2 linked regions of the Oryzias latipes genome follow. The protein of the gene in region 2 purifies or fractionates together with the protein of the main gene of each other region. This does not show direct contact. Links are inferred from orthologs where the notes say so. Each region holds a gene or a part of one and is shown on either strand. Other genes may lie near its edges.

Region 1 (3,754 bases), on a different chromosome or scaffold from region 2:
CGTATCATTTTATTGCTGTTTTCCTATGGTTGCTTCGAAGATTGCTTAAATTTTTTGTCTGTATGTTTTCATTTGTGCTAAAAGCATTGCTTGCGGAGGGTGTGGGGGGTCATAGTTTTAATCGATCTGCATGGCAACAGACCCAAGTGGTTCAGGTTGATCTTGCAACTCATTGATTTAGACGGTTTATTAACGGTAAGAGTATCTTACTACACACAGAGGCATGAAGGCAGGATTACCTGGAAATGGGAATATCGATTGCACCAAGACACTAAGGCTCAGGTTTTAAATAAAGGGGGAAAATTGGACATGGGAATCATGTCAATTGTGAAAATAATAAAATACTGTAACAATAACAGATTACTTTATGTTGCAACATGAAAAATGTCTCTTTTAGCATACAGATAGTGGACCATCCAGACTACTCATGATTTTTGTTAAAGACCCACTCCAATGAAAATATACTTTCTGGTGTTTTAACATGTTCTTGTATCATTTTTTCTCATGATGGAGGTCATATAAGGAAAATCAAGCTGTAATTGTATTTCTGCATATTTCTTTATTCAAATTGATGTCAATCAGGAGCAGACGTTAAAATGCCGTAGGAAAAAGCAGGTAGCAGTGACATAGTCTACAGTCGGCAGGCCAGAAGCTGCCTGCGCTGCTCCATTCTGATGCATCCACTTGGAGACAAATAGATCCATATACAGTATGTGTTCGTTTTTCTCCTCCAGGCTGAAATGTAGCTCAAAACTGTGCGCCTGGATAGCTCCGATATTGCTCACCACTTTTTGTGCAACACAAATGTTAGGTTGGGGTTGTGAAGGGCTGCAAGCTGGAGAGCACCTAAACAAAGGGATGATGGAAAATGAGGGCACCAACAATCCTGTCCACAACTCAGAGGCAGAGTTCTAATGACCTACTACTGCTCTGCAGAAACCATGTCCTTGAAAGCGACAGTTGTTTTTATTGGGTTAAAAATGGCATAATCATAACTAAAAGACCAATGGGAATGCTTTTACGTAAGATCAAAAGATGATTGGAATGGGACATTAAGTCATTCAAATATCACAATTCTTTTAAAAATCATTGTCATCATATCTTAACTAAAAAATAGTGTTAAAAATGGCAATTAGTTTTTATTATTCAGTTGATTTTTGAAAAAAGGTAAATATAATTTTAGTTACATAATTAATTTGCTTGTTGTTTAAAACGGCCTTGCTTTAACCCTTGTATAGCACAAGGGTTAAAGCAAGGCTGTTTTAGGCACTTTAACATTGGGAGTTGGGTCATCTAGACCCACTAGACAGTGCTCTGAACCTTTTTTCTTCAATGATTTGTGATCTTCACTGGTGTCCATGGATTACATGAAATCTTTACACCTTTATCCTCCTTTGTCATGGTAGGACAACACGTCAATGTAAGGGTGGGGTCATCTAAGTTAGCACAAGGGTTAAACAAAGGAGAAGCTGAATTGGCGACATTTCATGTGCAATTCTGAATAATAAGGGACCTTCCGTATCTGTCCAGCAGATGGCGCTGTCGGTCCAGTTCCACAGTTCCGTGACGATAGTCCGGATCCAGGAAGAACAGCTCATTTCAGCAATTACAGCTTTTTTTTCAAGCTCTGCGATTCGTGCTAGAGCTGCGTCCTGAATGCACAACACGAATACGCTGCTGACGAGCTGTGAACACGTGAGTTAACGAGTTGTTTTAAAATTGACCAAAGTTGTTTTGTATTTTACGATTTCTTACCAAAAAAAAGCGACAAAAATAAATGGTTGTCACCCCCCCCCCCCCCCCAGCCGTTTCCGTCGTTGTTTACACCGTAGCTAGATGCTAGCTGTGCTAACTGCTAGCATTTGGTGTTTTGACAGGGCGTCAGTGGAGAACTTTCCGATCCAGCAGGGAGATGTTTGACAAATACGGACCTTTGAGCTTCTTAGCTGCTACAGTCGTGACTGTGTTTCTTCTGGATGCTGGTGCTGTTGCAGACGCTAAGGTGAAACAAGGGAAATGTGTTGTTTTAGCTTATCATATCCTATGACAATCATCCTGGATACTACTTCTTGTGTTTGCAAAATACATATTTTTATCATAAATATTTACATGATAATCCATACTTTTTTTTAAAATCAATTTGTCTAATAAATGAAATCAGGGACACTTCAGTTCTGATTATGCTTTCTGCTGTATTGTAAACAACTGTAAATAAACCCACGTGGCTTGTTTCAAAGTCCGATCTTTTTGACTGCTTTATCAGACCCGGATGAAGAACTAATCACCTGAATCAGGTGCAGCCTGGAACAGGGAAATAAGATTCACATGCAGCCCAGAACCAGGATTTAAAACTCTCTTCTTATTATCCTTGATGTTGCAGAACTTTGAAGATGTTCGCTGCAAGTGCATCTGTCCACCATACAGAAACATCAGTGGGAACATTTATAACAGGAATGTTACCCAGAAAGATTGGTAAGATCACTTTGTTAAAATGTATTTACTATTATTTAAATAATATCAATTTAGAAACAGTTTGGGAATTGGTTTAGTTACTTTTTATTACTTAATTGACACAAATGCTGACTTTTTGTCTGCATTTTCATGAGGTTGCCCTACACACTTTAATCTTACCTTGCAGGTATAAATATTAACGAAAACCTTTGCTTTCATTGCAGTACCTGCCTCCATGTTGTTGAGCCGATGCCAGTTCCTGGATATGATGTAGAAGCTTACTGTCTGCTGTGTGAGTGCAAGTATGAGGAGCGAAGTAGCAACACCATCAAGGTACTACAGGCTTTCATTTGATTTCGGTGGTTTGTCTCCTACAGTATCCTCCCTCAAAGCAAACGTCCTTCAAAATTCCTTGGGCAAAACCCTTCGCGCTACCGCCTAACTGTGTTGCCACAAGGGGCCCCAAGTCTGGGTCCCCCTATGTTGGTTTCCAGCCCGGATAAAACACAGGCTGGTGTCAGGGAGGGTATCCGGCGTAAAAATCTTTGTCAGACTACGTGTGCAAAACAGTGAAAGCTGAGTCGCTGGCGACCCCTGAACGGATTTGCTGGGGTCTTCAAACTATACCTATTATGACACCTTTTAACCAAAAGACCCAGAATACCAGTTTTTATTGTTTGAAGCATTTTATCTTTGTTTTGTTGCGTTTTGTATTGTATTGCCACAAAACCTGTCATTTATTGATTTGTGGGAAAGATACACCCCCCTACTAAAAATAAAATTGAAATGCTTGTTATGTCCTGTTTTTGTGATGTGCTGCAAAATGACATCTTTATGTGACCCGTTTGCTAAATGTTCCAGGTAACCATCATCATTTACCTGTCGGTTGTGGGTGCATTGCTGCTCTACATGCTGTTCCTGCTCCTTGTTGATCCTCTCATCCGGAAACATGACCCCTACACTCAGCCTCTGCACAACGAGGAAGACAGTGAGGTAATCATGCAAAGAAACATCACATGTATTGGTGTACATTATGAATGCCGCCGGTTTTAACATACGTCTGCGTTTGCAGGAGATGCGTCCGCAGGCAGACAGCGGGCAGGCCAGAGGAAACACGGTGCTGGAGCGGGTTGAGGGAGCACAGCAGCGCTGGAAGAAACAGGTCCAGGAGCAGCGAAAGACCGTTTTCGATCGCCACAAATTGCTAAGTTAAACTGTCAGCCTGAGCTTAAAACCCGGTTTAGAGTAAATGACCTCCTTGAGCTCAGACCAGCGGCACTATCACAAACCAGCACAGCATCCT
Region 2 (3,754 bases):
AGTAATGCAAGTTCGATTTAAATAAAAAACACTACAATTTAACTATTTTTTCTGCCTTTTTAGTGCAGCAGAGAGTGATTTTTTTAAATACATAGTTACTCTAATATCGCAGTTCCAACAAGAAGAGGAGTTCGGACCACTGGCTGCATGTTCGGACAACAGCCGTTCGTAATTGTTGGTAGGGTGACGTCATATTGGTCATCTGTCGCAGTGTTTACATCGCTTAAGTCAATAAAGGTTGAATTGAAATTTACAAATGCACTAATCTTTTCCTCACTGATCGACCTATGCACCTCCACTTTAGTTTCGCCTTTGATAGATTATGTTTTCCTTTCAGTAGAGCATAGAAAATGACGAAGCAAAGGTAGTTTTATTTAGAATGCTAACGCAGAGAAAACGACAAAGGTATGGAAGTTTAACAGGAAATACACATTACAGACTACAAAATAAAGCTGCAGAGTTTCACTGAAAATAAATAAAATGCATACTTTTTTTAATTTAAACACACGTAGACACACAAACAAAGATTTAAGCTATACTTTATTCAAAATGAACTTTATAAGGAAAAAGGTCCGTTAAAATAATTGTTGAGGATGGAACCGGAAGTTTTGGGTTGTATGATAATTGTCGCTTAACAATCGTCTAAATAGCAGAATAAACATAAACGGTGGAATGAATACGAATGTTAACACTGTTTGACGGCGTTTACTTCCTTTTTAAACAACTGTTGTGTTTCGTGTCTGTACTTTTATTGAAACCAGCTGTTTTTCGTCCGGATAATGATGCTGAATTTGCACGTATCCGTTAAGTTTACACGGGTTCCTGCTGCTGACATAAGCGGGTCCCGCTGAAGCAGGCGGCGGGGCAAATCTGAAGTCACAAGACTTCCTGGAGCTAAGCGGTTGTTATCTCCTGTAAAGGTACGGTACAGCATTATTTTCACCGCTTTAGAACCATTTTTCTCCCTGTGAAATAAAAGAAACACATCAAAGACACGTAAACAGAAAACATGAACTACTAATTAAGTTAGTCTGGTGCTAAATCTAGTCTTCCTTTTTATATTTTTAGCTAAGCAGCACAGCACCAAACAACGACCAACAAATCAGCTTATTAGCTTCAGTGACATAGTTACTAGCTATAATATTTTTGAAGTACAGCCTCACGGCTTACTAAAAAGTAAAAGAGGAAATAAGGGGCGGAAATGGAGATAAAAACTTCCTTTAGTGAAGTTGAAGAGTCGCAACTGCTGCCTGCGTTGATCATCAACTTGATGATGTGGGTGTTATGGCTAGCTTTGGGGCCGATGGATTTACATTTGTGTCTTTTCTTTTAGAGAAAGCAAAAAAAAGTTAGAATCCTCCCCCCCCCCCCCCTTATTACTTTGAGTGACAATGTTCAGGTGGTCGAGCATACAGGGAAGACCTGTCCGAAACAATGACACAGGTATTGACAGCTTTAGCTCAAGCTAAGTTAATGCAGCGCGTGGAGGGTAAACATGCACTCTGTTGTGCTGCAAACAGGGTCCAGAACCATGGAGAACCCCGGATACCGAACCGGGAGCTATGATACCCTTCATCACTCCAGTGATGATGATGACGACGAGATGGTGGACATCGCAGGTGCCACGCTGGACTTCTCCACAACGGACGACATACCTTCTCTCAGCTCAGGTAAGTCCAGCGGTTGAACAAAAAAACACCAGCAGGACAGGTAGATAAACTTAGATAATATGTAGAACCAGAATAGACAAATACTGCACATGGTCACATTTTTATGGTTATTTCTTTAACAGAACTTAGCAGATATGGAATTGAGTGTTTAATCTGCTTTTGGTAACTTTGACCTTAGTTCACATGTCACTGCCGTCTATTTCAATGAAAAACGCCCACAGCTTCACTTTGGTTGGACATTGCTTGATTTAAGTATAAAGATGTTTAATCTATTACTTTAATGTTATATGCAATTTCAACTCCAATAATCTTTTGAACTATTATCAAACTGTTCCCAGTTGGGTTTTAATGAGGATTATTCCAATTTTAAGCAAAATCGAAAAACCTGTGTTGTTTTCTAGGACATAGGTTCTGCAGAGCGGCAGTAGTTCAGTAGAAATTTGCCTCTGAGTTGTGGGTGGGAGCATTGGTTCAGTGTAAGCCTTCCCATCATCCCTTTGTTTCCATGCTATTTTGCTAGCTTACAGCCCCTCACACCCCTAACTTAACACTCCGGTGCAACAGAAATGGGGAGTGCGTCGGAATGGATCGAAGCAGAAAGCTTGTGGCCTGCTGTAGTAGTTTTTACTACAAGCTTTTTACAACTGCATTTTGTTGTCTGCTCTTGATTCTGCACTATTTGAATAAAGAAATAAGCAGAAATGCAAATTTAACCTTAATTTTCTTTATGTCCGTCATTAGAAAATGCCACAAGAACCTTTTTAAAACTTAAAATTTTCTTTGGCAGGGGTCTTTAAGCAGCAGCGTCTGCCTACATATTCCTTTTTTTGCTATCTCATTATTTGAGTATTTCATTTTGGATCAATGTGTTCATATTCACCGTGTGAACATGTTAGAATTGTGTTGTTCCTCTGACATGTTGGGTTTTTGTTGACCTCATAATTGATCTAAACTCCAATGCTGATGTCATGTTACCGTCATTGTGTATGTGATGAACTCACACTTTTCTTGGTCTGATAAGCTGGATTTGACAGATCAGGTTATAGGAAATCAGAATTCAGAGTTCCTCTGGGATCTCAGAAGTTCTTGAGACTTCCCTCTGCTGTGCGTAATTTAGTTATTTGGATGGCTGATGACAGACAGCACGAGTTGGCAGCACATAAGACTTGCAAATAAACTGTTGGGGATTTCTTTTCAGCACAATGAAGTTAAAATATATTATTCGGAAGTTGCATTAAACACCAAGCACAAGCTACTTAGCATGCTGGGCTGACATGTGAGAACAATAACATGTCCCTGTTGAGAATGTTGTAGTTTAGATTCCATGAGAAACATTGATCATGACCGGAGATCCAAAAGTTCTGATTTGGAACCTTGACTCTTGCAGCGGCTTCCTGATGTTTCCCCGGTTACTGGTGATGTCATCACATTACTTCTCCACCTCCTAAAACAGCAGCCTTAGCACATAAGGGTTTCTTCTGAAAGAATTAAGTTTGTGACTCCACAGACTCTTTCAAGCAGGTGAAATCATGACTTAATTCATGATATTAGTTCAGGTTTTGCACCATTTCTTTGAATTTTTTATGTCTTTTTTTCATTGGACAGCTGCATGAGTTATGATTTCTCAGCTTTTGTGTATAATATAAAAACAATTATCTATGATTTTCATTGTAATAGTACACCCTAGCTGTGAAGTGAAACCGTGTATTTTTTATTTTTTTGTCATTTAAATCTCTTGATTGCTCTAAATCATTGACTGTATACTAAATAACTGGACGAATGGCGTGTGATGTCACCCATAGAAAATGCCTTGCTTCTGGTGTAGGTACAATATGTGTTTGTCCTGCCAGATCAGCACGGGGGATTGCAAATGGTAATGATGTCACACTACGGTAACGGCACTTGGACAAACTACTTGTAGGCTGTGTCTGAATTCCTACCCTACTCCCTAACTACTGAAAAACGATATAGTGCAGGACTACCTAGTGCCCTGGCTTTTCAAAAGCAATTGGGACACAATGCTCACTGCAGTTTTTTTTTTTAAACGGAAAAAATGTCACCGATTTCACGAAGCAGAAATCGAA

The links. The genes of interacting proteins can lie anywhere in the genome.
Region 1: the proteins of clcn5 (region 2) and tmem9 purify together in Homo sapiens (co-immunoprecipitation; 3 studies listed by BioGRID and IntAct, with this or other methods). This does not show direct contact. The link is inferred for Oryzias latipes from reciprocal best matches to the Homo sapiens genes CLCN5 and TMEM9.

What each region holds. Positions count from the first base shown.
Region 1 is NC_019865.2:11,958,748-11,962,501, reverse strand, and holds the start of tmem9 (transmembrane protein 9), read left to right. Parts: upstream 1-1,559; 5' UTR 1,560-1,695; intron 1,696-1,877; 5' UTR 1,878-1,912; coding exon 1,913-2,002; intron 2,003-2,380; coding exon 2,381-2,472; intron 2,473-2,675; coding exon 2,676-2,784; intron 2,785-3,312; coding exon 3,313-3,444; intron 3,445-3,523; coding exon 3,524-3,664; 3' UTR 3,665-3,754. UniProt on the Homo sapiens protein: Transmembrane protein that binds to and facilitates the assembly of lysosomal proton-transporting V-type ATPase (v-ATPase), resulting in enhanced lysosomal acidification and trafficking.
Region 2 is NC_019876.2:21,114,123-21,117,876, reverse strand, and holds the start of clcn5 (H(+)/Cl(-) exchange transporter 5), read left to right. Parts: upstream 1-1,315; 5' UTR 1,316-1,391; coding exon 1,392-1,443; intron 1,444-1,520; coding exon 1,521-1,670; intron 1,671-3,754. UniProt on the Homo sapiens protein: Proton-coupled chloride transporter. Functions as antiport system and exchanges chloride ions against protons. Important for normal acidification of the endosome lumen. May play an important role in renal tubular function.